Macaca mulatta: one gene and its partners. The protein of the gene in region 1 purifies or fractionates together with the protein of each later gene. This does not show direct contact. Links are inferred from orthologs where the notes say so. Each region holds a gene or a part of one and is shown in the gene's direction. Other genes may lie near its edges.

Region 1 (3,500 bases):
TACTATAGTATGTAGACATCCAGATTTTAATTTGCTTATAAAATATGTTTTATACTTCAGATGCAGTAGTTAGGCATTCGTAGGAATTCAGCTTTTGTCTTTTTCTTACACTTGCCAGAGTTTAGGTTTAATTTTTAAGAAGAGGAGTGGCTGGATAACTTGAAAGCCGAGTTTTTTCTTTTTTGTTGTTTTGGTTTGGTTTGGTTTGGTTTTTTTTTGAGACGGAGTCTCTTTGCCCAGGTTGGAGTGCAGTGGCACAACCTCAGCTCACCGCAACCGCAACCTCAACCTCGTTCAAGCGATTCTCCTGCCTCAGCCTCTCGAGTAGCTCGGATTACAGGCATGTGCCACCATGCCCGGCTAATTTTATATTTTTAGTAGAGACAGGGTTTCTCCATGTTGGTCAGGCTGGTTTTGAACTCCTGACCTCAATGCTTTGCCCGCCTCAGCCTCCCAGTGTGCTGGGATTACAGGTGTGAGCCACCACACCTGACCTTAGCCAAGTTTTTTCTAAATCCCTGTAAAGTAGTTACTACATGATGTAAACATCCAAATTTTAGTTTTACAGTTTTACAGTTGTGGAAACTGAAGTACAGAGTAGTTCTGTAACATTCCCACACAGCTAAGAAATGAAGGAGGCAAGATTTCAACCTGGCAGTTTAGCTCCAGAATCTGTACTTTTTTTTGAGACAGAGTCTTGCTTTGTTGCCCAGGCTGAAGTGCAGTGGTGTGATCTCGGCTCACTGCAACCTCCACTTCCCAGGTTCAAGCAATTATTCTGCCCCAGCCTCCCAAGTAGCTGGGATTACAGGTGCAATCCACCACACCCTGCTAATTTTTGTATATTTAGTAGAGATGGGGTTTCACCATGTTTGTCAGGCTGGTCTCGAACTCTTGACCTCGTGATCCTCCTGCCTCGGCCTCCCAAAGTGCTGGGATTACAGGCGTGAGCCACCGTGCACAGACAGAACCTGTACTTTCAAACACATATACCATACTACCTCTTTAATGAGAATCATCACATTAAAATTCTGTTGAGCTGGGCTTGGTGGTATGTGCCTGTAGTCCCAGCTTCTCAGTAGGTTGGTAGGCTGAGGCAAGATGATCACTTGAGCCCAGGAGGTTCAGGCTGCATACAGTAAGCTATGATTATGCCACTGCATCCCATCCTGGGTGACAGAGTGAAATGCTGTCTCTAAAAATAAATTAATTAATTAAATTCTGTTATAGAAGGGGGGAGGTTTATCTGTGTAGTGTAGAATTTTTTTTTCCCCTAGAAGATGGGGATCATAGATTCTGCCCCCTTACGCATATTTGACTCTGCAGTGTTGGAGAGAATTTATTGTTTTCCACCAGGAACATTTCATGGATGCTTTTGTTGGATGATGCCTTATTCTTTGACCATGTATTAACCAAAGACCTTAGACATTATTTTATTGTTTTTAAAATTGTCTTTTCTTTCTACTGCAGGCAGATAAGTTGCTGTCACAGGATTTTGTGCAGATAATGGAGGATATTATTCTCACGCTACCTAAAAACAGGCAGATTTTACTATATTCCGCTACTTTCCCTCTTAGTGTACAGAAGTTCATGGTGAGTATAAATCTGTACTTGGAATCAGTGCCATCCTATGATCTATGAGTATGCTTTTATTCATAATTACATCTTCCTATCTGTGAAAATACTTTATACTAATTATTTCAAGCCTTTGGCTCTTTCTTCAGTTGATCAATTAAAGATTTGTTTTACATAAATTAACTGACTTTTTAAGAAGGTTGTAATAGTAATTAATTAAATTCCTCATTTTTCTCTTAGTTTTTGGTGTCATGATGACATAGCCATTGGTGCTAGCTGAATTGATTCCAGTATTATTCTATATACAAAATAGAGTTTGAGTATCGTAAACTGAAATCCAAAATACTGCAGAATTTGAAACCTTTTGAGCCACAAACATGATGCTAAAAGGAAATGTTCTTTTGATTTTGAATTTTCAAATTAAGAATGCTCAGTCACTAAGTGTAATGTGCATATTCCAAAATTAGAAAAAATTTAAAACCTGAAACGCTTTTGTTCCTGAGCATTTTGGATAAGGAATACTTAACCTGTAGTAACTTAGCTGCATTTTTGAGATCTTATATCTTAATTTATTTCTAACGTGTCTTGCGTGGTGACTCAGGCCTGTAATCCCAGCACTTTGGGGGGCCAAGGTGGGCAGATCACAAGGTCAGGAGTTCGAGACCAGCATGGGCAACATGGTGAAACCCCCGTCTCTACTAAAAATACAAAAATAAGTCTGTTGTGGCAGCGTGTGCCTGTAATCCCAACTACTCGGGAGGCTGAGGCAGGAGAATCACTTGAACCCAGGAGGTGGAGGTTGCAGTGAGTGGAGATGGTGCCACTACACTCCAGCCTAGGTGATAGCAAGACTCCATCTCAGGGCAGCGGGGGGAAAATTCTGTAATGACAGATCATATATTTTGTTTTGAAGAGAGTTGCATCCCTTATAGCAAGAGTTGATTAGACAGAAACCTATAGGGTGGGTATATTTTGAATTTGAGATGAACTCTGCTTTCATTTAAGAAGAACCATCTTTTTTTTTCTCCCCTCCCAGAATTCCCATTTGCAGAAACCCTATGAGATTAACCTGATGGAGGAACTAACTCTGAAGGGAGTAACCCAGTACTACGCATATGTAACTGAGCGCCAAAAAGTACACTGCCTCAACACACTTTTCTCCAGGGTAAGAAGTAGGCTTCTGCTGTTGAATATTATCTCTCGAGTCCCAGTAAAACAGATTATTTCATCAGTTTTCCTACCATCTTCACTGTATAAAAGTTCATAGTGTTTCTGGCTTGGCGTGGTAGCTCATGCCTGTAATCCCAGCATTTTGGGAGGCTGAGGCAGGCGGATCACGAGGTCAGGAGTTCGAGACCAGCCTGGCCAACATGGAGAAACCCCGTCTCTACTACAAAAAAACAAAAAAACTAGCTGGGCGTGGTGGTGCGTGCCCATAATCCCAGCTACTTGGGAGGCTGAGGCAGGAGAATTGCTTGAACCCAGGAGGCAGAAGTTGCAGTGAGCCAAGATCACGCCATTGCACTCCAGCTCTGGGCGACAGAGCAAGACTCCATCTCGGGAAGGAAAAAAAAAGTTTTTAAAAAATTCATAGTGTTTCCTAAAAGGCAGTTTTAATTGTTGACCTAAAGTTGATACTAAATGATTAACAAGTCACAGATACACTTTTGAATAGTTTCTGAAATACTTAGACCTTTACTAGGGTTAATACTCATTATTCACATATTCTGTATTTGTGAGTTTGCTTAGTCACTAGAATTTATTTGTAACTCCAGAATTAATACTCAAGGCAGTTTAGCAGTCATTTGTGGACGTGTACAGTGTGGCAAAGAGTTTAAGTCACCTGACACGCACATACCCAGCTGAGGTTGAAGAAGACAATGCTCTGTCCTCTTGTTTAGCTCTCATACTGTGAACAAGTATCC
Region 2 (4,016 bases), on another chromosome or scaffold:
GTTACATTAAAAATCCATTAGTCCACCTTGTCCTGGAATGGATCTTTTGCCTGTGCATGATTATGTAGCATGAGACATCAGTCATTTGGAAAATACTGGACCACTGAGTTAAGCAGATCTCTGAGATACTGACACTTTCCATTACACAAGATTTGTTAAAATTGCACTCATTAATATCATCATTGATCTCATCAGAAAAAAAACGTTAAATATTGAGACGTTGTCAAGCTCATGGCAGCAGATACACATTTTCTAAACTTTTCATTCTGGCTTGAAGGCTTAAAAATTATCATTGGCAGCAGTAATTGTCCCTTGTTTTCCTGAAAGTGACAGGCACACTTTATTTATTTTCAGGAAAATGTCTGTCAAGTACCTGTTTGAATAATCATAGTTTGCCCATCTTTCTTTCAAGTAAAATGTTTTATGAAAATAAAAAAAAAAACGTGAATTCGGCCCACAACTCAAGCACAGAAGTATTTTCCTAGAGACAAGTATGACACACTTCATTTTGTAGCAGACGTGCTTTATGCCTATTTCCTATTTTTTTCATGCAGAATACTAAAAAGAATGGTACCCAAGGATTAAGCTTCAATAAAATTTATAATTTTTACTGCTTATCAAGAACACCATCAGGTGACACTGGCTCTCTAGCTTTTTTTTTTTTTTTTAACTGAGAATGCAGGTTAGTGACACGTGCGTACTTTCACTAGCAATACAGTTTGGTGTCCCTGCCATGATTGGGTTAAGCCACCAGCACTTTTAACCACCATTGTCTGCAAATCGTCACCACAGTGAACAAGTCAAATAAGTAAGTCTTAGCATTGTCATCAAATTTTTTTTTTTTTTTTGACCTTGCAGATCCCCTGAAAGGGTCTCAGAAACTCCCAAGGGGTTCCAGGACCACACCACACTTTGAGAACCACTGGGTGTTAGCGCATTCAGAAATCAATTCAGTTCTCTTTCTCTTCAGAGTTCTTGATGCTCGAGGCTTATTTATTGTGATAGGTCTGATCACTGAAGCGCCAAAGAAAAGATATGCCAAGGCGTCGAACACATCCAAGAAGGAAGTCCTACCGCGCACACAGCTCAAAGGCTCCAGCGTGAAGAAAAACAGCTCTTGGAGAAAGAAACGGGATGCAGAGGGCAGGCCTGGGCTTGTCGTTGCCAGTGGCAACGATCCTCAGTGGGCGGAGCGCGGCCATCGATTAGTGAGGCCTTGCGTCAGTCGGCGGGCGGGAGGGTGTGGGTGACTGGAGCCGGAAAAGGCCTCCCGGGCCTTGTGGTCGCCGTGGGTTCTTGGTAGCGAAGCAGCTCGCTCGTTCTGCGATCTATTGAGAGTGGCTTCCAAGAGCCCCGTGCCTATGTCGGGGAGGGAGGGAAGATGGCAGCCGTGGCGGCAGGCGGCCTGGTGGGGAAGGGGCGCGACATCAGCCTAGCGGCCCTGCAGCGCCACGACCCCTATATCAACCGCATCGTGGACGTGGCCAGCCAGGTGGCTCTGTACACCTTCGGCCATCGGGCCAACGAGTGGGTGCGTGCGGACGCGGCGGAGCAGTGCAGAGCAGGGTTGGGGTGGAGGCGGGGGGCGTCAGACTCAGGACAGGAGGACCCGGTGAGGGGGAGGAGACGTTGAAGCCCTGGAGGTGGGTGGATCTGGGGCCTGAGGCCGAAGTTGTGGAGATGCGCTCCCGGGGGTTTGGGGGAAGGGAGGCGGATCTGTGGAGCTACCTGGAGTTGGGGAAAAGACTTAAATCTCTAACGTACCCAACGCTGGGAGACCAGACCGATCGGGTACCGCACCCTGAGAGCCGAAGGAAAGGAAGGACCTGATGCCTTAAGGTCGGAAGACCGATGTGCTCGAGACAGTAAAGCAGAGTTCTGTTACAGTGAATCTGTGGCTATGGGGGAGGCAGGGACAGCAGATGAATAAAAGTGCAGAGTTCTGATTTTGGAATGTCAGTCTTAGATGGGACAAAGAGAAATCAAAACTTGATAGAAGGGGAGAAATCTGCAAGTTGTAAACTAGGGAAACGCCAAGAAAAGAGCCAACCTCGTCAAATAAAAGACAAAATGGGGCAGGGTCCAACACTTAGAAGGAGGCTGATGCTCTTGGGAGGATTATTATACGACAGCCCACCAAGTTTGATATTGGAGGCCATTTGGGAGCCAGATTATTTTAGTGCTCTTCTCAAAGCAGAGTCCCAATAAATGGTAATGGAATGAAATTTCATTGTCCTCACAGTTAGAATGGGGTAGAAGCCTAGAACACTGGAATCCTGTTGCAGGAATTGCTGCTTGTAATTTTGTAACCCACCCACTCGAATGTAGAGAGATGTAATTTTATTTCTTTCCTCATAATGACTTTTGTCCAAATAATATTCATCATCCATTATATATTGCCCATTAAATATCACATATATGATATCCATCATTTTAAAATAAGTTACAAAACAGTATGGAGAACTTAGCCTTGATGAATGGATTTCAGATAAACTTTTTGTGTTCTTCAAGTCGGTTGTATAAACACCAGAACTTAAGCAAGGAAAACATCCATGTTGAACAACTCTGTTTTTTTTTAACACCCACATTCATAAGCCTACTTATCTCCAGTGTAGTTCAGCAGCCTGTAGTTAAAAACTCACCTGAAAATCATTAACATAAAAATAAAAAAGCAAGCAAGAATGGGATAGACAAACAGTTTTGCCCAAAGTTCTTAACAGAGGAAATTTACAGGAATGGGGCAAAGAATTTAGGTCTGCGCTCCTAGTAGCCAAACTCAAAAGGAGAACAGGAAGAGCTCTTTAATATTCATTCTTCTGTAATAGAAAGCCTACCACTTAATCAGGAGAAAGGTTATTTCCCCCTAGTTTCCAGGGGCATTTGTCACCTAGGTCTTTACATAAAGAACATTGAGCAACATAGTAGACAGTTTCCTCCATGGTAATTAAAAGTATATATGAAGATATTCTACATAAGGCTGTTTTGCTGCTGTGTAGAAAAATGCCAAAGGCATAATGTTATAATCCTGTAAAAGTTAATTCCATAGTAGAGAGATGAGGACCAGAGATGTATAGTTGTATAAATTGACTTGACACTGGGATTCGAGTCTGGAGCATCCTGAGAAACTATTAATATAAAGAAAGTAGAGCATTTCTCTTGAATAATAGTTGTTTCCTGTAGGCTTTTGACCGTTATCTATGTGATAGATACCTTTTAAGATAGTTACAGATGTTTATTAGATACCTAAAGCCTCATCAAAAAGCAGATGTGTCACAATGCATTATTTACAGGAGTTATGTTTTCCTGCTTGCTGGACATGTTGCCTTCAGACAGGGTATAATTCACTCAGGAAAAGGTCATTCTTTCAAAGTTCTAATATTCAAGGCTGTCGTAGCCAGAAAAACAAAGAGAGAGACCTAGTTCAGCTGCAGAGCAGTTGCTGGAGGCAAATAAATTATGACCACTGTCTCCATGTGCTGTCACTCTGGGTGGGAGCCATTTGAATGTAAACCTAATAAGAATATGAGAACATTCTTGAGAAGAGAGGAGAAAGTATTTACAAGAAGGCAGGGAAGATGTTAAAGAGGGGAATTCTTATTGCCCTGAAAATGGATGAAGAATGACTTCAGCCTTTCAGAGGAGGAGAAATTAGGAAGGAAAGGTATATAGAAAATGAACTGCTTTAAAGAAGGATTAAGAAAGATTATGTCATGACTGGAATAGGAATTTTAGAGTTAGATCTACTCCCTGTTGCGAGGAAAGATGCCCCCCTCCAAAATATTAATACCTGTGTGTCAATTGAAGACCATAGCCCTGGTATTTTCCAGCTGTCAGTCCTTAGACCAGTGGCTCCCAGCTGGAGTTGATTTTGCCCCCAGGTGACATTTGGCAGCGTCTGGAGACGTTTTTGGCTGTTGCACTGAAGGGAAGAGTGTTAGGACATCTGCAGAATAGAGGCCAGGTGAGCTGAGCCTGAAAACTGCCCTACAGTGACTGAGGTTGTGTTCCGAGCTAGT
Region 3 (3,500 bases), on another chromosome or scaffold:
CTTTTGCTAAGTCCTGTGGCTGATGTTGAGAAAACAATGCACTTGGTTCTAAGCGTATTGAGGATGTAGTGTTGTGAAAAGTTCGGGAAGGGTTAGAGAAATCCAGTCCTAATTTTGCCTTCACATTTCTTGAAACTGACCCGTGGGTGTGGGGAATGGGGGTGTTTGTAGTTTGAACTAGCAGTGGATGCTGTGCACCGGAAAGCATCTGAGCCAGCAGGTGGCCCTCGTCGGGAGGACATTGTGGACACCATGGTGTTTAAGCCAAGTGATGTCATGCTCGTTCACTTCCGAAATGTTGACTTCAACTACGCTACTAAAGGTATCGTCCTAGGCTCTTACCTCAGACCTGCTCTGTGTGCATAGAGGACAGAGGGCAGTTTGTGTGCATGCAGGTGGAACAAGGTGATGTGTTTGGTTTATTTATTTTTTTTGCCTTAATACCTTTTCTTATTTTTTCTGAGCAAGGTGGGTGGATTTTTTTTTTCTTAAAAATATGTCTTGATGTCTAATATATAATGGAATGAATTCCAGCCTGTGTTGTGGTTCTTCATATTTTCTTTGCTTGTTTTTAATTTCTTTTTTCTTTGGAATCATAATCTTGATAGACTTCTTTTACTCTTCTTTTGCCTCCCCACCCCCTGGCCGTGCTGACACACAGGCACACGTACTCTGGGCTTCTTAAACTTTTCGTTCCTGAACTACTACTTATGGGGAGTGGGGTTGGGGGATATTGGAAAGAAGTCTGTGAAATAGGGCCTGACTGCTGATCTTCACCTCTTCCCCCACAGACAAGTTCACCGATTCAGCCATTGCCATGAACTCAAAAGTGAATGGGGAACACAAAGAGAAGGTGCTTCAGCGCTGGGAGGGGGGTGACAGCAACAGCGACGACTACGACCTCGAGTCCGACATGGTATAGCTGCCTTCCCTGAGAACCTGGGAGCTTGACAGACAGAATGGGTTGTTGACAGTGAGGTTCATTTGAAGGGGGAGGGAAATATTTACTGTTGCCCGTTGATGGTGGTCAGATAACAAATAGGCATAGAAAATAGCAAAGTAAAACTACCTATTCTCATCTGGGTGCAGTGGCTTATGCTTGTAATCCTAGCACTTTGGTAGGCCAAGGCCAGTGGGTCACTTGAGTCAAGGAGTTCGAGACCAGCACAGGCAACATGGCAAAACCCTGTCGCAACAAGATATATAAAAGCTAGCAAGGTTTGGTGGCATGTACCTGTAATCCCAGCTACTTGGGAGGCTGAGGTGGGAGGATCACTTGAGCCCAGGGAGGTCGAGGCTACAGTGAGCTGTGATCATACCACTGCACTCCAGCCTGACTGGACCCTGTCAAAAAAAAACCAAAACATCAACTTATTTTCTTACTATCTATAATTAACCATTCCTAGCATTTGCATTACATTATTTTTCAACATAACGAAAAGTATAGATTATCGTGTAGACCCGTTTCTCTTCCCAAAATCAGCTACTCTGAGACATTTAAAATCTCTCACGAGGCTGAGCACAATGGCTCATTCCTGTAGTCCCAGCTACTTAGGAGGCCAAGGCAGGAGGATCTCTTGAGCCCAGGAGTTTGAGACTGCAGTGAGCTGAGATTGTGCCACTGGACTCCAGTCTGAGCGACAGAGTGAGGCTATCTCAAAAAATAAAAATAAAAATCGCTCATGAATAGAGCTGAGCATGGTGGTCCCACACCTGTAGTCCCAGCTCCTCAGGAGGCTGAGGTAGGAGAATCATTTCAGGCTTTGGTGCACTACGATTGAACTTGTGAATGGCCACTGTGCTCCAGCCTGGGCATCATAGCAAGAATGTCTGTTGAGAAACAAATGTCTTGTGAATGAATATGTTATTGCTTTGTTATGTTTGGTTTGTACAAGAATTCGCTTTTTTTGCGTTTTCGAACTTCTCGTGGTGATACATAGATCTAGTTCTTTGCTTTTATTGTTGTGTAATGTTTTCTTTATATTCACACACATACGTATACGCAACAAATTGTATTTGTCCTTTTCGTTACTCATCTGCATTTTGTTTCTATTATTTTGCTACTAAAAATAGTACCTTGCTGGACTTTGAGAACTTGTATTCCCTACGCACATGTGCCAGAATTTTTCTGGGATGTCTTGGACATAGACTTGTTGGATTTTTTGACTTTTCAGGTTTACTAGTTATCACTAATTTCTGCTGCAATTGTTAGTAATTATTAACAGTTGCAGGCCGGGATCAGTGGCTCATGCCAGTAATCCCAGCACTTTGGGAGGCCAAGGCAGGCAGATCACCTGAGGTTGGGAGTTTAAGACCAACCTGACCAACATGGAGAAATCCCATCTCTACTAAAAATACAAAATTAGCTGGGTGTGGTGGCACATGCCATAATCCTAGCTACTGGCGAGGTTGAGGCAGGAGAATCGCTTGAACCCAGGAGATGGAGGTTGCGGTGAGCCAAGATGGTGCCGTTGCACTCCAGCCTGGGCAACGAGAATGAAACTCTGTCGCCAAAAAAAAAAAAAAAAATTGCAGTTAGTAATTACAATTATTAGTTGATTACTTTTGCCAGCCACATCCTTATTTTTTTTCACTGTTGTTCACTTATTTATTTATTTTTCAGACAGAATCTTGCTCTGTTGCCTGGGTTTTTGTTGTTGTTGTTTGTTTTGTTTTGTTTTTTGTTTGAGACAGGGTCTTGCTCCATCAACCAGGCTGGAGGCTGGAGTGCAGTGGCTCAATCTCAGCTCACTGCAACCTCTGCCTCCCAGGTTCAAGCGATTCTCCTGCCTCAGCTAGGACTGCAGGCATGCGCCACCACGGATGGCTAATTTTTTATTTTTAGTAGAGATGGGATTTCACCGTATTGGTCAGGTTGATCTCAAACTCCTGACCTCAGGTGATCCACCCACCTCCCAAAGTGCTGGGGTTACAGGCATGAGCCACCACCCCCAGCCAGTCGCCCAGGCCTGAGTACAGTGGTGCCATAATAGTTCACTGCAGCCTCAAACTCCTGGGCTCAAGTGATCCTCTCTCCTCACTCTCCTAAGTAGTAAGTAGCTAGGACCCCAGGCATGCACCACCACACCCACCTGTTTCATTATTTTTTTGTAGAGATGGACTCTTGCTGTGTTGCCTAGGCTGGCCTTAAACTCCTGGCCTCAGGAGATCGTCCTGCCTCAGCTTCCCAGACTACTGGGATTACAGGTTTCAGCCACTGTGCCCAGCCAATTTGGTCACATCTTAAGAGTTTTTAATCTGATGGAAGGGAAGTGACTTGTCAATGTTGCTTTTCTTGCTGGATTTTAAAACCTGCTTTCTCCCTCCCCAGTCCAATGGATGGGACCCCAATGAAATGTTCAAGTTTAATGAGGAGAACTACGGTGTGAAGACCACCTACGATAGCAGTCTTTCTTCTTATACGTGAGTGTCTTGGTGCTCTCTAGGTGATGTGTTGGTGATATGGGGTCACTAAGTGAAGACAGGTTTCCAGGAGAACA
Region 4 (3,500 bases), on another chromosome or scaffold:
GGAGCTGAGAGGGGGTTCTGCTGTTGGAAGGGTTGAGAGTGGGTTCTGCTGTTGAGAAGCAGGCGATGGAGTGTGTGCAGGGTTTGTGGTGCTTCTTGGTGCAAAGCGCCTGTCCCAGTTTTGGCTTGCTTTGCCAGGGCTGTTGAGATGGGCCTGGGGCCATGCCGTGCCTGTGTGTGCCCTCTGTTCAGGCTTCCCTTCTGGTGGGGGAGCCTCAACCACCAGGGCCTCCCGGGCGTGTTTCCTGGGCAAACTCCTCCTTGAACTTTCTACCCAAAGTCTTTCTAATGGGCGATGCTTCTGTGGTGAGCTGTTTATGGCCCAAGGCTGCCACTGCTGCTGTGTCCTTAGTAGACCCACGGAGACAGATGCCCTCACTCCCCCAGGCCCCGGGACGGCCACCAGTCACACACCAGGAAAGGGGTGCCAGAGCATGTGCAGTGGAGCATCGGGGACGAACGTTCCACTGCCCACCAGCACCAGGGGCCTCAGCACAGGGCTAGACACAGAGCAGGTAGCAGGGACTGTGCTGGACAGGTTGTTGTCAGAAGGGTCTGGGAGGCTGGCAGGTGGAGCCGGCGGTGAGGCAGGCAGGCAGGCAGCGGCGGCAGAGAGGCCTGCAGTCAGCAGCTAGTGCTGCTTTCATTTCAAAGGATCTCCAGCCGCAGGAGGTGTGTAAAATGGTACTCACGTTCACACTCTCACTTCTACAAGGTTACTGCTAATGTGTAATTTTTTTTTTTTTTAGACGGAGTCTCGCTCTGTCGCCCAGGCTGGAGTGCAGTGGCACGTACTCAGCTCACTGCAGCCTCTGCCTCCCAGGTTCCAGCGATTCTCATGCCTCAGCCTCCTGGGTAGCTGGGATTACAGGCGCACACCACCACACATGGCTAATTTTTGTATTTTTAGTGGAGAGGGGGTTTCGCCATGTTGGCCAGGCTGGTCTCGAACTCCTGACCTCAGGTGATCTGCCCAGCTTGGCCTCCCAAAGTGCTGGGATGACAGGCGTGATCCACCACACCTGGCCTAATGTGTAACTTTTGTTAGAGGTCTTTTTCTTGCTGTTATAAATCAATTATATAAAAAGTAAGATACACAAATGGCACCGTCCTTGTTACGTCCACTTTCATATTGCTTTATATCTTTTTTTTTTTTTTTGGAGACGGAGTCGCACTCTGTCCCCCAGGCTGGAGTGCAGTGGCACAGTCTTGGCTCACTGCAAGCTCCGCCTCCCGGGTTCACACTGTTCTCCTGCCTCAGCCTCCTGAGTAGCTGGGACTACAGACACCTGCCACCACGCCCAGCAATTTTTTGTATTTTTACTAGAGACGGGGTTTCACCTGCATGAAACCCTGGATGGTCTCGATCTCCTGACCTCGTGATCTGCCCGTGTCGGCCTCCCAAAGTGCTTGGATTACAGGCGTGAGCCACCGCACCCAGCCTGCTTTATATCTTTGCTATGATTTTTCTGTGTGTAAATAAATGTGTACAGTTTTACACATATGGGGCCATATACTATATGTAGTTATGATGCTTTTTTTTGAGACAGAGGAGTCCCTCTCTGTTGCCCAGGCTGGAGCACAGTGGCAGGATCTCGGCTCACCACAACCTCCACCTCCTGGGTTCAAGCGATTCTCCTGCCTCAATCTCCCAAGTAGCTGGGACTACAGGCGCGTGCCACAGTTGCCTGGCTAATGTTTTTGTATTTTTAGTAGAGACGGGGTTTCACTATGTTGACCAAGCTGAACTCAGACGCCTAACCTCGTGATCCACCCGCCTCGGCCTCCCAGAGTGCTGGGATTACAGGCGTGAGCCGCCGCATCCGGCCTATGATGCATTTTTAATATAAATCTTCTTCCACAGTATCCTTTTCAAGATTTTATGCAAGTCCAACTGTCTAATCTTCTGATCTGCTTTTAGGGGACAAGCAGGCCTTCGCACTATCACGTCCTCTGGGACGACAATCGTTTCTCCTCTGACGAGCTGCAGATCCTCACCTACCAGCTTTGTCACACCTACGTGCGCTGCACACGCTCCGTGTCCATCCCAGCGCCAGCATACTACGCCCACCTGGTGGCCTTCCGGGCCAGGTACCACCTGGTGGATAAGGAACATGACAGGTGAGTGGCATTCCCGGCTGGAGGCCACAGCAGCGGTAGTTTTTGCCACGGGTGTTGGCAGCTGCTTTTCTGAGGAAGCAGCAGGGCCCCAGCAGCTGGAGCCAGCACCCTAGAAGGCCTTATTAGTGGCATGGCCGTCAGCGTGGGACTTTCCCCTCCCCCAGGTTCCTGCCGTGCCATCCCGACTTAGTTATCGACGCACCGCCTCGTCGTGCATTAAGGCTGCACATTCTCATCCTCTGTCTCTCTCACCTGCAGTGCTGAAGGAAGCCATACCTCTGGGCAGAGTAACGGGCGAGACCACCAAGCACTGGCCAAGGCGGTCCAGGTTCACCAAGACACTCTGCGCACCATGTACTTTGCTTGACATGTTTTAGTGTTTAGCGACTGTGTACCGAGTGGGATTCACGAGACCAGCTACACTCAGACCAACAGATGGCCAGCCCTTCCGTGACAGCCAGCATTGAACATGAGACGTCATTGATTTTATTAGATTCTCCGTTTTCCAGAATGCCTTCCGTCCCAGATTTCACACTTGGATTTTGAACTGCAGACCTGTATGAGAACCCAATGTCATAGGAAATATGGTTTGCTAAAATCTATAAGCTGCTTATTAAAATAGAGTCCCGTGTTTCCTAAAAATCTAAAACCAGTCTATGAACTCAGGGCTTTAAAACATTTTTAATTTATTTGGTCATTCAATTTACTTGTTTTTAATACATGATTCTCTATGAAATTGATGGGCTCAAACTAGCTGTGAATCTTCTGAGAGTGAAAGCAACACAAAACACAATTGTGGTTTTAAAGCCTTGAACATTCTGATGTTGTCACTAAAGTTGATTTCCGGGCGATGCTCGTGTGCCGCTGGCGTGGCTCACCCAAGGTCCTTGACCGAGGGCCGGTGGCCATGCAGAGGCCTCCGCAGGTGCCGAGTTCTGCCAGCACTGCCCTTCACCCGGCCTGAACTAAGGAGCAGTGGCAGAAGGTGGGCCCCGTGTGTTTACAGCATTTCCAGGTCCAGAGAGGTTGGCAGACAAGTGCCATTTTAATAAAAATGTATTTAAAAAAAGAAAAAAGACAATATACTGACAGTCTAATCATCAGATTTGTCCTATAGGACTGTGACATTTATTTTCCAAAGTTTTTAAAGAATACGGGTCTGTGGTGATGAATACAGTACAATCCTTTTTCACTGTTATGTCTTTAATGTAAGAGAAAATTATATATATCTGGTTTGCAGTATTAATGTGATAGATAGATGCTGTTTTTTTCATTTTATTGACTATGGGGTGCTTCTGTGATCTGTTTAGCATATCAAGAGTGTTTTGGAGCCTGGAGACGAGACTGCCTCTCAGTTCTTAGTGCTTAAGGACAGGAATA
Region 5 (4,238 bases), on another chromosome or scaffold:
CCTGGCCAACATAGTGAAACCTCGTCTCTACTAAAAATATAAAAATTAGCTGGGTGTGGTGGCACGCGCCTGTAGTCCCAGCTACTAGGGAGGCTGAGGCAGGCGAATCACTTGAACTCGGCGGGCGGAGGTTGCAGTGAGCCGAGACCATGCCATTGCACTCCAGCCTGGGCGACAGAGAGAGACTCCGTCTAAAAAACAAAAAAAGGAACTAGTTCACAGGGTTACTGTGAGCCTTAGAAGGCTGTGTAATTACAAGAATGCCTGGTATATAAGCCCAGTATATTAAAGGACAGCCAGCATGTATTTTGATGCGTTAAGGAAAAACATCAGGTTCATTTCATTAAAGTGATGGTCTGCCCAAATATTTTGCATATAACAATATCTTTAAGCAGTCTAAAGGTAAAGATATTGTAGATTTTGGAGTCCCTAATGTTGGCATTGCCTCTGCCAATATTTAAGGTATTTGACATATTGTCTTCACGTGCCAAATACCTTAAAAATGCCCTTATAGGACTGCGAAAAAACTGATGAAATGTATATGCCTGCGTCCACCATGTTTAGTTCGAAAGCATTCATTAATGTATTTTTTTCTTTACATTTCTTTGAACATTTTATCAGTCTTTCATTCCAAAATTCCTGTGCTATCTCGGTATTCTCTGAAAACACTGCCAGACCTAAGATGCGAAGTGTCTTCCTTGACTACAAGATTTGGCTTGGCTTTTTCCATGAAACAAGGTCACCAGTGTCTCACCCTGGGGGCAAGTCTGGGCTTAGAGCTAGACTAGGACTGTAATCCTGATATTTCAGGCCTTTCAGCTTTAGTATGTAAAATGCTTTAGTATGTATTGATATTTAGCCATGCCTAAATTCGTAACAAGCACACAAAGAAATAGTCTTTTCCCCCTCTGTAAAGCCCACGTCATATTCTTCCTTTACTGCAGGGCCTCTTGGTGGGGCTTAAAACCTAGGATGGGTTAAATAAACAATGTAGGTGAGTTTAGTGTGCAAACAGCTGAAATCACCGGCTGCATTTTAAGCTCGTCTACAGCAGCAACCTGCAGACACCTAGTTCAGAAAGATTACTAAATTCCCTCCTTCCCATTAATAAAAGGGACCAGAGTATCAGTCTACAAAAGACACTGCGTTGCTGCGAACCAGCTCTCGCTTGCGCGATCAGGAAGAAGGGCGGCAAGGAAGAAGGGCGGCAAGCCTGGAGCCTCGGGGCAGGAGAAAGGCAGCCTGCTTGTGACGTCAAATCAGCGGACTCTTATCTTGGCTTTAGGCCGGTTCCGGTTCCCCGGCTTTCCGGGCGCGAGCGTGTGCGAGCGCGGCAGCGTACTGCGCGTGCTCCGCAGAGGGACACGGGAAGGTTGGGCCCGGTTCGGGAGGAGATGCGTGATTGGCTGACGCTGTGCTCGGGGGTTCCCTGGCCCTTTCGGCAGGGGTAAAACAATAAGAGGGGGCGGCGGCAAAGGGGGCGGGACGTCCCTGGTCCTTGTCGCTCGTCGCAGCGCCTGGCGCCCGGGAAGAGGTGGTTGTGAAGCAGACGAACTCGCGGCTCTCCGGCTTCCGAGGCTTCCGAGTTGTCGGAGGAAGGGGGCGGCGAGCAAGAAGAACCCGCCGCACCCGGTCCTCAGCGACTCTTCTGACCTCCGCGCGACGTACCCGCCGGCGCCGTTGGCTGGAGGTGTGTACGGGGGCCGGGAGGGGAGGTCGGTGTGGTGGTCGGAAAGGGACATTTTCTTCGCACTCCGCGGCGCGAGGTAATCGTCCGGTGTGTGAGCCCGGGAGCCGGAGGTGTAGCGGCAGAGACATTGTTCTTGCCGGCTCCCTACGCTGCCGTGTGTGCGTGAGAGAAGACCAGTCTTTCCTCTAGGTGAGGGGTGGGAGGCCGCCTGGGAAGGGAGGTGACCCGCGAGCGTCTTGCGTGCAGAGGGCTCCGAAGGCACAGGTGGGGTTGAGGTTTGTTGGGGATGAGGTGGCGAAGTAGGGGGGCACGCAGCAGCTCCCGAAGGCGCGCTGATGGAAGCTTAATACAGGAAGTGTGGGAGTAGGCTTTCTGGAGGGGATGTTTTAGGGTGCGTAGCCCACCGTTCCTGTTTCCGAATCGTTTTCGGCTCTTATTCCCTGTTCCTTCGGAGCGGGGAGGCCGTCGCCGCCCCGCCCGTGGGGGAGGGGAAAAGAGGTTTTGTCGGCGGAGGCAGAAGCGACGCAGATGCGAAAGTAGCGGCCTCCGGGCACCATTTCTGTGCACGGAAACAGAATCCGTGTTTGAAGGCAGCCGCCGCTTGGCTTACCCAGTACCTAGTGTTCCGTAGTCTGTGACCAACCCCCTCCTCCCCGCCACCGCGGGTTTAATCCGAACGTGTTCGGATACTGGAACTGTAACGTGCGCCTTCTTCGTCCCCCTCTCATGCAGACGATCCCTTATTTACCCGGGAATGACTTTTGAGGGATGGGTTCCCGCTTTTTGGGGGTGGGGGGACAGAAAGGAACATAAACTTCCCTATATTGTGTTGATTTTGTTTGTGGAATCTTATAGAATTTTCCCTGCGTCTCTAAAAGCAGATTTCTTAAGATGGCCCTGTGCCGCTTTGGGGCGAATATAGATTTTCGTCTACAATTTCCTGCATAGAACAGTTTTTTTCCCCGAGACATACTTAATGTTGTAACGGATTTGGGGTGGGGGGGTGGGAGAGTGCCTTTTCCTTCCTAACAACAACAACAAAAAAGGCACGTGCACTTTTAGCTGGAATAGTAAAGTTGTCCTTTTCTTCCCCTGTGATTGTTGTGGGATATTAACTTGGATTAAGATACTGTGGTTTTAGGTTCAAGGCTCCGTACCTTGTTCTAGTCTTTCAAACGTTAGCGTTGCAGGTACCTGGATCTAGGAACCATTAACTGCCGTTAAGAGAGCCCCGGTGTACTAGAGTGGGAGATGATGGCAATTCTTCTCCAGCTCCATATTTGGCAGTTAATATAGCCTTAGGCATGTGAACAAAGTTTCTAAGTAAACTTTTGGCCTGTTAGGATCCAGTGGTCCTTTTGATAATCCAAGATTCCTGGTCTTAGGAGATACACGGTACGAGGCGTTTGAACCTCTTAGGATTGATTTACCGTTTCTTTAGCAGTAGTTACATTTTTCTTAAATTTTTAAGATTACTCATATGGGCCTTTATGTTATGATTTAATCTTTACAAACTAACTCTGAAAAGCAGTCAAGGAATTGTAGGAATAATAAGGACCTAGAATGAATTGCTTACTAAGAGCTCAGATTGATATTCAGGGTCGAAATATTAGTAATAGTGAAAAAACATCAAGAGTGAGCCAGAATGCTTGTGGGATGGATGGGGATAAAAATTAAAAGGTAAAGAAGAAAACACGTTATTTGATAATTTCGTGGAGTAACTAACTTAACTGTTCAGTTAGCAGCTAAGCAGTTGATTTGTCAGCAGGCAACTCCTGGTTTGAAGAAAGTGTTGGCACTGCCTCTTTAGATTCTGAAAACTTCCCTTCCTTATCCTGCAAAATTATCGCTGTTTATTACCCATAATTAGGATTTAACATTTTCCCCCTAGATTGCTTTGAAGAGACTTTCCACATATTTTGAGTGAATGTGGAGACAGTGAATGAGTCCTTTTCAATGTTGATGAAAGGCAAAAACTAAAGTGTTGCGTCTGGACTTAAATTCAGTAGGATTTAATGGACAAACATGACTTAGTTACTCTCCACTGGTAGACACTTGTTTAATATCCGATAGAATAAATTGGTCCAACTCCCTAGCCTACCTTCAGAAGCAATAGAATTAGTTTCTTGACTGTTGTGTTTCCACTTACTTTTATCTTCTAATTTCCAAGTATTTTACCCTATCTTGAAACCATAGGTGTATTGAAAATGATTCTTGGGTTTTCTGTTACTGGCCTGCCGTATTCCTTTGCTTTTCACTCTTCTCAACAGTTTCACGTAAGCTAACAATTGCTTGTTTAAAATTAATTTTTGTATTGTTGGAAGAGCTGGCTGCTCTTCCAAAGCGGTTGTTCCTAACCAAAATGTAGTGAAAACATCACTAGAGTCAGGAGACCTGATTTCGAGTCCTCTTTTTTTTTTTTTACTGTAACTGGGGGACCCCAAACACCTTTCCTTAGGCTCTCTAAACATCCTTTTCTGTAAATAAAGATAATGCCCTATCTATTTTAAAGACACAAAGGAAAATAGTAGGTTACTTGTTAAACGTT
Region 6 (3,972 bases), on another chromosome or scaffold:
CAAAAAGGAAGAAGAGGAAGTGTCTTGACTTCTAAGAATAATGGATGACTAAAGGGGAACTACCATTTATTAAAGACCTAGTACATGCCATGCACATATACACGTTATCGCATTTAAACCTCCTAACTATGAGGTAGGTATTATTATCTAACACAGTATAGCAGTAAATAGCACTGTCCTTGTAAATAGGTAGACTGTTTTTGCTAGTTGTGGAACCGTGGACAAGTTTAGTCTAAAACGTAGTTTCTGTAAAAGGAGGACATTGATACCTACCTCAAAGGGCTGTTAGATGCTCAAGAAGTGACAATACAAATGCCTATGAAGAAACAGGATCAGGTAATTTGCTTACTCAAGGTCAGGTGATTTAGTAATAGGTTGACCTGGGATTCTGGTTCCGGCTTATCTCACTCCACAGCCAATGTTCTTTCCACTATCACTCTCTAGTTACAATCATCTTTTTTTTTTTTTTTTGAGACGGAGTCTTGCTCTATTGCACAGGCTGGAGTGCAGTGGCACGATCTCGGCCCAGTGCAACCTCCGCCTCCCACGTTCGAGCGATCCTCCAGCCTCAGTCCTCCTAGTAGCTGGGATTACAGGCACGCGCCACCATACCCGGCTAATTTTTGTATTTTTAGTAGAGACAGGGTTTCACCATCTTGGCCAGGCTGATCTCGAACTCCCGACCTCAGGTGGTCCACCTGCCTCGGCCTCCCAAAGTGCTGGTATTACAGGCGTGAGCCACCGCTCCCGGCCGTTATAATCATCTTGTCCAAGTATTGTTAAGTCCTCTGAGGCTCTGATTCCTTATATGCAAAATGGGGTTAATATATTTTATAAAATTCATTCATTAAACTCTTGTGTGGAAGGTGTGCATATAATGGAGACTGCAGCTCTCTCCTCTTTCCCCCTTTCATTCCACGTAGGTCATTTATCCTTAACTTCTAAAATGGACTCTACAAGCATTTAACCGAGCGGACGCAGCTACACAAATATTTTTCAGATTCCCCTTTATTTCCTCTTCTTCCCTAGTCCACCTAGGCTCCCTAGCCACCCAGCGTCAGACCACGCCCCGGCGTGTGACGCAAGCACGCTCCGTGCGTCGCGTCGCGTCGCGGCGCTCACTAGGGGCCCGGCTTTCGCCCGCTGCTGCCGCCGCCGCCGCCGGCCGCGGCTGCACTCCCAAGATGGCGGCTCCTCCGGGCGAGTACTTCAGCGTTGGGAGCCAGGTGTCGTGCCGGACGTGCCAGGAGCAGCGGCTGCAGGGCGAGGTGGTAGCCTTCGACTACCAATCCAAAATGCTGGCTTTAAGTATCCTTCCCTGCGTGAAGCCCGAGTCCGGGCCGGCGTATAGGTGCGGTGGTCGGGGGGTGGGGGACGACGGCGGCGGCTGGGGCTCTCTCCGGGCCTAGGGGCGACCGGCTACCGCGGCGCCCGGGGCGCATGCGCATGGCCCTGAGTTCCCCTCCCCCTCCCGCGGGCCCTTCGGTCAGCTTTGGGGATCCTGTCTCCCCTTGCGGGAGCTGGGGCTTTACCGAGGATCAGTGGGTGGAGGAGGGCTTGACACGGGGATGGCTTTTCGGGAAGAACGTTATGAGAGGGGACACAGTGATTAGGAGAGGGGGTGGTGTTGGGAGGGGGCTGGTGGATTGGAGCCCGGATGGAAAGGAGGAGCGGGTGAAATATTATGGGGAGGGATGTTTAGGGTAAGGAACTGCTGGTAGGGCAAAGGTATAGAATTTAGGAGGGCATGTGCACTGATGGGATTTCGTCCAAGGAAGGGCGGTGGAATGGTGACCAAATTGGTCCTTGCCTGTTTTGGGGGAGAGTAAGTGCAGGGCAGAGTTTGTATCTGAACTGGGGATAGTGGCTTGTTTCGCTGATGCGTGTGTATGTGTGGTGGTGGGGGGGCTGTTCTGACTTTTAGGCTTCTCGGTCATTTGGAAATCGCTGTTTGGGGGATGTTTGCATTGGAAACCTGTTCCAGAGAGGGCTTGCCGGGGCTTATGTGGGTTGGGGATGTGTGAGTTACAGGTGAAAGAGTGAAGTTCTCATGCTGCCTTGATCAGTCCAGCACATGGAGTCCTTTTACGTAGTAGTAGCAGCCTCCCTTTTGAAAGCAGCAATGTTAAATTGATTGGAAAAGGTGGCCTGCTTCTTTGGGGTGGGAATGACTTCTGAATTACTCCAGGAAACTCAGTCTTGGAAACGAAACGCTTCTTGTTGGGATAAATGTGCCACAGCTTCCCCTTTTATGGGAGCTACAGGTGGGTTTATTGGAATCTTGAAGGAGTAATTTTTTATGGTATCTTTTTTTTTTTTTTAAAGATGGAGTCTCGCTCTGTTCCTAGGCTGGAGTGCGGTGACGTGATCTTGGCTCACTGCAGCCTCCGACTCCCTGGTTCAAGCGATTCTCCTGCCTCAGCCTCCGGAGTAGCTGGGATTATAGGCACGCGCCACCACGCCCAGCTAATTTTTGTATCTTTTTTTTTAACAGAGACGGAGTATCACCATGTTGGGCAGGATGGTTTCGAACTCCTGACCTCGTGATCTGCCCGCCTCGGCCTCCCAAAGTGCTGGAATTACAGGCCTGAGACACCGCCCGGCTTTGTTTTTTTTTTTTTGTTTGAGACGGAGTTTCACTCCTGTTGCCCAGGCTGGAGTGCAGTGGCTTGATTTGGGCTCACTGCAACTTCCGCCTCCCAGGTTCAAGCGATTCTCCTGCTTCAGACTCCCTAGTAGCTGGGATTACAGGCATGCATCACCACACCCGGCTGATTTTGTATTTTTTTTTTTTAGTAGAGACGGGGTTTCTCCATGTTAGTCAGGCTGGTCTCAGACTGCTGACCTCAGGTGATCTGCCTGCCTTGACCTCCCAGATTGCTGGGATTACAGACGTGAGCCACCGTGCCCGGCCATGGCATCTTTCAAAATGAAGTTTCCTACTGAGTCTGCTGCCTTTGAGTGGCAAGTATTTTAATTCATTTAACCACTGCTTGTAGATTTCTAGTTTAGGAAGATGTCCTTTGAAACTAATTATAGTAAGAGTAGTTGCTTTTTTTTTTTTTTTGAGACAGAGTCTTGCTCTGTTGCCCAGGCTGGAGTGGTGCAGTGGTGGGTGGTGCGATCTTGGCTCGCTGCAAACTCCGCCTCCCAGGTTCGTGCCATTCTCCTGCCCCAGCCTCCTGAGTAGCTGGGACTACAGGCACCCGCCACGACGCCCAGCTAATTTTTTGTATTTTTAGTAGAGACAGGGTTTCACTGTGTTAGTCTGGATGGTCTCGATGTCCTGACCTCGTGATCCGCCCGCCTCGGCCTGCCAAAGTACTGGTATTACAGGCGTGAGCCACTGTGCTAACAATTGTTGCTTTTTCAAAAAATGAGAGGTTACACCTGGAAGAAATAAGACCTTTTACATTAGTGGTTTGGTTGGAAGGGTCTTGAAACTAGGAAATACTCTTTTTTTTTTTTTTTTGGGGGGGGATGGAATCTCACTCTGTTACCTAGGCTGGAGTGCAGTGGCATGATCTCAGCTCACTGCAACCTCTGGCTCCTGTGTTCAAGTGATTCTCCTGCCTCAGGCTCCCGAGTAGCCAGGATTACAGGCATGTGCCACCACACCCGGCTAACTTTTTTTTAGTAATGACGGGATTTCGCCATGTTGGCCAGGCTGGTCTCGAACTCCTGACCTCATGTGATTCGCCTACCTCAGCCTCCCAAAGTGCTGGGATTACAGGCGTGAGCCATTGCGCCTGGCTGAATTACTCAATTTTTAGTTGACATACAGTAGGCTCTTAAATGTTTGGAGAATGAATGTGTGAATGAATGAATGGATTAACTGGCTGGATCACCTTGGGTGAATTTCCTTTCCAGTGTGTAGTTTTCTCCTTTGCAAAATGGGAAAGCTCACATCTGAAAGAGTAAAAAGAACACTGTGCAGATACAGAGTATTATAGGAAGAACAGAAAGGTCTAG
Region 7 (4,037 bases), on another chromosome or scaffold:
CCCGACATAGCCAGGTGAGGGGGCCTGGGTCTACACAGGGTTGAACTCGACCCCTCCAGGCCTCAGTGGGCCCCCAGGATGTGGGCCCCAAAATGTGGTCCTGGTGGTGTAGGCAAGAACCATACGGGCTGAGCACGGTGCCTCAGGCGTGTAATCCCAGCCCTTTGGGAGGCTGAGGTGGGCGGATCACCTGAGGTCAGGAGTTCGTGACCAGCCTGGCCAACATGGAGAAACCCCTTCACTACTAAAAATACAAAACTAGCCGGGCGTGGTGGCGCATGCCTGTAATCCCAGATACTCAAGGCTGAGGCAGGAGAATTGCTTGAACCCGGGAGGCGGAGGTTGCCCTGAGTGGAGATCATGCCACTGCACTCCAGCCTGGGTGATAAGAGCGAAACTCTGTCTCTAAAAACAGCGGCAACAACAACAAAAAAAGAACCCTACAAACCCTAAAAGCTTCTGGAATCCTGTTTCTGCCCTTGTCCTCAACAGAGCCAACTTGAAAAGCTGGCCACAGCTTCCAAAGGGTCAGGTTTCTTCCTCCTCACCCTACCCGGACCTTGAGACCCGAAGGTGGGGGACACACAGGTGACCCCAGGACTCTGGCCCTCTGACCTGGGTGGGGACGAGCACTCTCCCGGCTCCTCCCCGCTTCAGCCAGGGCGACTTTGCACCCCAGGTACCTTATCTCCCTGGGAGCGGACAGGGACGCAGCCAACGACGATGGCGACCTGCCCTCCGACCTCATCGACCCGGACTTCAAGGAGCTGGTGGAGCTCTTCAAAGGGGCCACGATGGACTGAGCCAGCTCTGCCCGCCCGCCCCCGCGCCCAGGGCCGCCTCCCTGGGGAAGCCGCGGGTCGCCCCGGGGCCAGCACGTGCCCCACCCGTGGGCCAGGGGCGGCCGGACCCGTCCCTCCACGACCCCGCCACCCCTCCTAGGCCTGGCTTTGTCTCCAGGTGAATTTTTTACTGTGACACTTTTTACTTTTTCAATAAACGTGACTCCCAGGTGAGGGGGCCTGGGTCTACACAGGTGGTGCTTGTGGTGGTGTCCTGATTACTGGGCTCCCGCCGCTGCCGGTGGCCAGCGGCGCTCACCGTCCAGGCCGGGCCGGCCCAGAGCTGCCGCCACGAGCCCCGACCCCGCCCGGGAATCCCGGCCGCCCCCGCCCTCCGCGTGCCGGGCGGTCACGTGGGAGCGCGCTGCGTCTGCGCCTGCGCAGCCGGCGGTGGCGTCATTTCCGGCGGGGCCTCCCAGCTGGAAGAGGCGGTGGCGGCGGGTCGGGGTGAGGTGAGGCGGGTGCGGCGCCGGGCGGCGGGGACGGGGCGGGGCGGGCGCGGCTGGGCCCCGCCCTGGTGTCGCCGGGCTGCCGCGGGTGCCCTGCAGGGCCGGGCGGGGCCGGGCGCAGGGGAGTGGCCGAGTGGCCGGGGTCCGAGGGAGGGGCCCGCGTTCCTTGCCCGGCACCTGCAGGAGGGCGCGGCCCGCGGGGCACTTGGGAGCGCGCGTGGGGAGGGCGCGACTCGGACTGAGCGCCTTTCCCGCCTAGGCCGGGGCAGGGGCCGGGGACCCAGCGCGGCCGCACGCTCGCGGACGGCCCGCCTTCTGCCACCGTCGGGGCTCTGGGGCTGACAGAGCCCCGCTTTCTCCCGGAGGGACCGTGCCTGAGGATGCCTCCGACTCTCGGAGCCCCGCGGGCCGGGCCGTGCGCATTCTTCTGTCCATTTTCCGGCCTTGCCCGCTTTCCCGTCTACCCAGGCAGTGGTGCTGGGCCTAACGGGGAGAACCGGGCCTCCGCCTGCCTTCGAGGCACTCACTGGGCGGTGGTTGTGACCGCGGGGGCGGCAGCCACACGGGGCACGGGCTGTGCTTCTCTCCGTCGTGCCCCAGGGTAGCCGTCGCAGAAAGGTGGTCTTTGAGCTGGACCCTCAAGGATGAGTAGGATAGTTATGGGCAGAGAACACTGCTTGACCAAAGGCCTTGAGATGTAAACGGGGACCAGTGAGTGGACTTTGGGTGGGATGTGGCGAGAAGATGTAGAGAGGGTGGGAGGTGGGACGTGAAGAAGAGCCAACTCTTCCTAAAAGACGGGGCTGGATCTGGGGCGAGTCAGGGGAGGTTGTGGTTTGAGTGGGATCAGGATGGGGAGGAGGGCGCACATGCTTAGTCTGTTGCTGCCACCACCCAGGGGAGAGGGTAAGAAGGTGGGGCAACACTTAGAGGCTTTCTCCGGGGGTCTTCAAGGAACCACGAGATGCCAGTGTATCAGCTGTGACAGCGGCATCCTTGTGCGCCTGCTTGGGTAGTAGATCATATTCTAGCCTGATTGGCTGAGAAAGACACAGAACACGAAGATAAAGTGGAGTCTTAGCAACTTTGAATCTCAGAAACTCCAGAGGAGCACCGAATAGCGATGGCGTCACTGATTCTAACTCTGGAACCTCACAATATTGTCACGTTGCTGGAGTGTTACCTCATGTCCTGTTCTTAGGCATGTGGCTGTGTGTGGGGGAAAGAATTTGAGACTGAGAGGCCAGAGACTGGGGTTCTGTCCCCTCCCCACCAGGAAGTCTCTGAAGCCCTTGGGTCCCCTGGAGGAGGAAGGTTCTATATAGTTCTACCCAATAAGACTCCCCTCCGTATCTGGAGGGAGGGCCAGTCTCTGAGCAAAGCCACACGGGTATCAGTGGGGAATGGGGCTTTCAGGGAGTCCAGAAACCTGCTGTGAGGTGGAGGCAGGCTTTGGGGAGGCTGAGGCCAGCTGCAGCATTCGGGCCGAGCCCCAACTGCTGTAGCCCTGGAGGCCCTGGCAGGGGCACCGCTACTTGGTGGCAGGCTCCTTCAGCGCCGAACTGGGAGTTCTCAGGGTGTCTTTCTGGCCCAGCTGTGGGGACATGGGCAGTGTGTGTAAGGAGGACCCAGTGTGGTGGCTGCCCTGCCCTTAGTCCCTGACAAGTGTTTGCGTGTCTGGTGGCAGTCTCTTCTTTCTGTCCCCAGTGCTTTTCTGTGCCTCCACCTCCCTAGGAGTGGGCTGATTCTACATTCCAGTTTTCCCAGAAGAGTTGTTTCATGCTTAATAATCAACAGCATCCCTTTCATTCTTTTTTTTTTTTTTGCGATGGAGTCTTGCTCTGTCTCTGTCTTCCAAACTGGAGTGCAGTGGCGTGATCTCCCTCACTGCAACCTCCGCCTCCCGGGTTTAAAGTGATTCACCTGCCTCAGACTCCTTAGAAGCTGGGATTACAGGTGCATACCACCATGCCTGGCTCACTTTTTTTTCTTTTTCTGAGATACAGTCTCGCTCTGTTGCCCAGACTGGAGTGCAGTGGCGTGATCTCGGCTCACTGTAACCCCCGCTTCCTGGATTCAAGTGATTCTCCTGTCTCAGCTTCCCAAATAGCTGGGACTACAGGCATGTGCTACCACGCCCAGCTAATTTTTGTATTATTTAGTAGAGATGGGGTTTCGCTGTATGTTGGCCAGGCTGGTCTCGAACTCCTGACCTCAGGTGATCCGCCCACCTCGGCCCCCCAAAGTGCTGGAATTACAAGCTAAGCCACTGCACCCTGCCTAATTTTTTTTTTTTTTTTTTTTTTTTTTTTTTTTTTTTTTTTTTTTTTTTAAGTAGCGATGGGGTTTCACCATGTTGGCCAGGCTGGTCTCAAACGCCTAACCTCCGGTAATCTACCCACCTCAGCCTCCCAGAGTGCTGGGATTGCAGGCATGAGTCACCACACCTGGTAGAGATGGGGCTCTTTCTATGTTTCCCAGGCCAGTCTTGAACTCCTGGCCTCCCAAAGTGCTAGGATTACCACCACACCTAGCCCCTTTCTTTTTTCTTTTTCTTTTTCTTTTTTTTTTTTGAGACGAAGTCTCACTCTTTTACCCCAGGCTGGAGTGCAATGGCGCGATCTCGGGTCACTGCAACCTCTGCCTCCAGAGTTCAAGCGATTCTCCTGCCTCAGCCTCCCGAGTAGGTGGGATTACAGGCAGCTGCCACCACGCCTGGCTAATTTTTGTATTTTTAGTTGACATA

Evidence for each region.
Region 2: the proteins of DDX6 (region 1) and DCP1B purify together in Homo sapiens (affinity purification with mass spectrometry; 6 studies listed by BioGRID and IntAct, counting the BioPlex papers as one, with this or other methods). This does not show direct contact. The link is inferred for Macaca mulatta from reciprocal best matches to the Homo sapiens genes DDX6 and DCP1B.
Region 3: the proteins of DDX6 (region 1) and ATXN2L purify together in Homo sapiens (affinity purification with mass spectrometry; 6 studies listed by BioGRID and IntAct, with this or other methods). This does not show direct contact. The link is inferred for Macaca mulatta from reciprocal best matches to the Homo sapiens genes DDX6 and ATXN2L.
Region 4: the proteins of DDX6 (region 1) and AGO2 purify together in Homo sapiens (affinity purification with western blotting; 5 studies listed by BioGRID and IntAct, with this or other methods). This does not show direct contact. The link is inferred for Macaca mulatta from reciprocal best matches to the Homo sapiens genes DDX6 and AGO2.
Region 5: the proteins of DDX6 (region 1) and G3BP2 purify together in Homo sapiens (affinity purification with mass spectrometry; 3 studies listed by BioGRID and IntAct, with this or other methods). This does not show direct contact. The link is inferred for Macaca mulatta from reciprocal best matches to the Homo sapiens genes DDX6 and G3BP2.
Region 6: the proteins of DDX6 (region 1) and LSM12 purify together in Homo sapiens (affinity purification with mass spectrometry; 5 studies listed by BioGRID and IntAct, with this or other methods). This does not show direct contact. The link is inferred for Macaca mulatta from reciprocal best matches to the Homo sapiens genes DDX6 and LSM12.
Region 7: the proteins of DDX6 (region 1) and MCRIP1 purify together in Homo sapiens (affinity purification with mass spectrometry; 3 studies listed by BioGRID and IntAct, with this or other methods). This does not show direct contact. The link is inferred for Macaca mulatta from reciprocal best matches to the Homo sapiens genes DDX6 and MCRIP1.

The regions. Positions count from the first base shown.
Region 1 is NC_133419.1:119,438,972-119,442,471, reverse strand, and holds part of DDX6 (putative ATP-dependent RNA helicase DDX6), read left to right. Parts: intron 1-1,470; coding exon 1,471-1,593; intron 1,594-2,611; coding exon 2,612-2,740; intron 2,741-3,500.
Region 2 is NC_133416.1:2,872,238-2,876,253, reverse strand, and holds the start of DCP1B (mRNA-decapping enzyme 1B), read left to right. Parts: upstream 1-1,216; 5' UTR 1,217-1,381; coding exon 1,382-1,531; intron 1,532-4,016. UniProt on the Homo sapiens protein: May play a role in the degradation of mRNAs, both in normal mRNA turnover and in nonsense-mediated mRNA decay. May remove the 7-methyl guanine cap structure from mRNA molecules, yielding a 5'-phosphorylated mRNA fragment and 7m-GDP.
Region 3 is NC_133425.1:28,113,749-28,117,248, reverse strand, and holds part of ATXN2L (ataxin-2-like protein), read left to right. Parts: intron 1-171; coding exon 172-322; intron 323-791; coding exon 792-916; intron 917-3,331; coding exon 3,332-3,423; intron 3,424-3,500. UniProt on the Homo sapiens protein: Involved in the regulation of stress granule and P-body formation.
Region 4 is NC_133413.1:150,854,864-150,858,363, reverse strand, and holds the end of AGO2 (protein argonaute-2), read left to right. Parts: intron 1-1,920; coding exon 1,921-2,120; intron 2,121-2,378; coding exon 2,379-2,497; 3' UTR 2,498-3,196; downstream 3,197-3,500.
Region 5 is NC_133410.1:58,136,092-58,140,329, forward strand, and holds the start of G3BP2 (ras GTPase-activating protein-binding protein 2), read left to right. Parts: upstream 1-1,438; 5' UTR 1,439-1,690; intron 1,691-1,748; exon of another isoform or gene 1,749-1,879; intron 1,880-1,934; exon of another isoform or gene 1,935-1,965; intron 1,966-4,238.
Region 6 is NC_133421.1:68,427,636-68,431,607, reverse strand, and holds the start of LSM12 (protein LSM12), read left to right. Parts: upstream 1-1,172; 5' UTR 1,173-1,184; coding exon 1,185-1,308; intron 1,309-3,972. UniProt on the Homo sapiens protein: Nicotinic acid adenine dinucleotide phosphate (NAADP) binding protein. Confers NAADP sensitivity to the two pore channel complex (TPCs) by acting as TPC accessory protein necessary for NAADP-evoked Ca(2+) release.
Region 7 is NC_133421.1:91,485,787-91,489,823, reverse strand, and holds the start of MCRIP1 (mapk-regulated corepressor-interacting protein 1), read left to right. Parts: upstream 1-1,237; 5' UTR 1,238-1,294; intron 1,295-4,037. Other genes in the region: PPP1R27 (protein phosphatase 1 regulatory subunit 27), read left to right, coding at 1-14, 680-803. UniProt on the Homo sapiens protein: The phosphorylation status of MCRIP1 functions as a molecular switch to regulate epithelial-mesenchymal transition. Unphosphorylated MCRIP1 binds to and inhibits the transcriptional corepressor CTBP(s).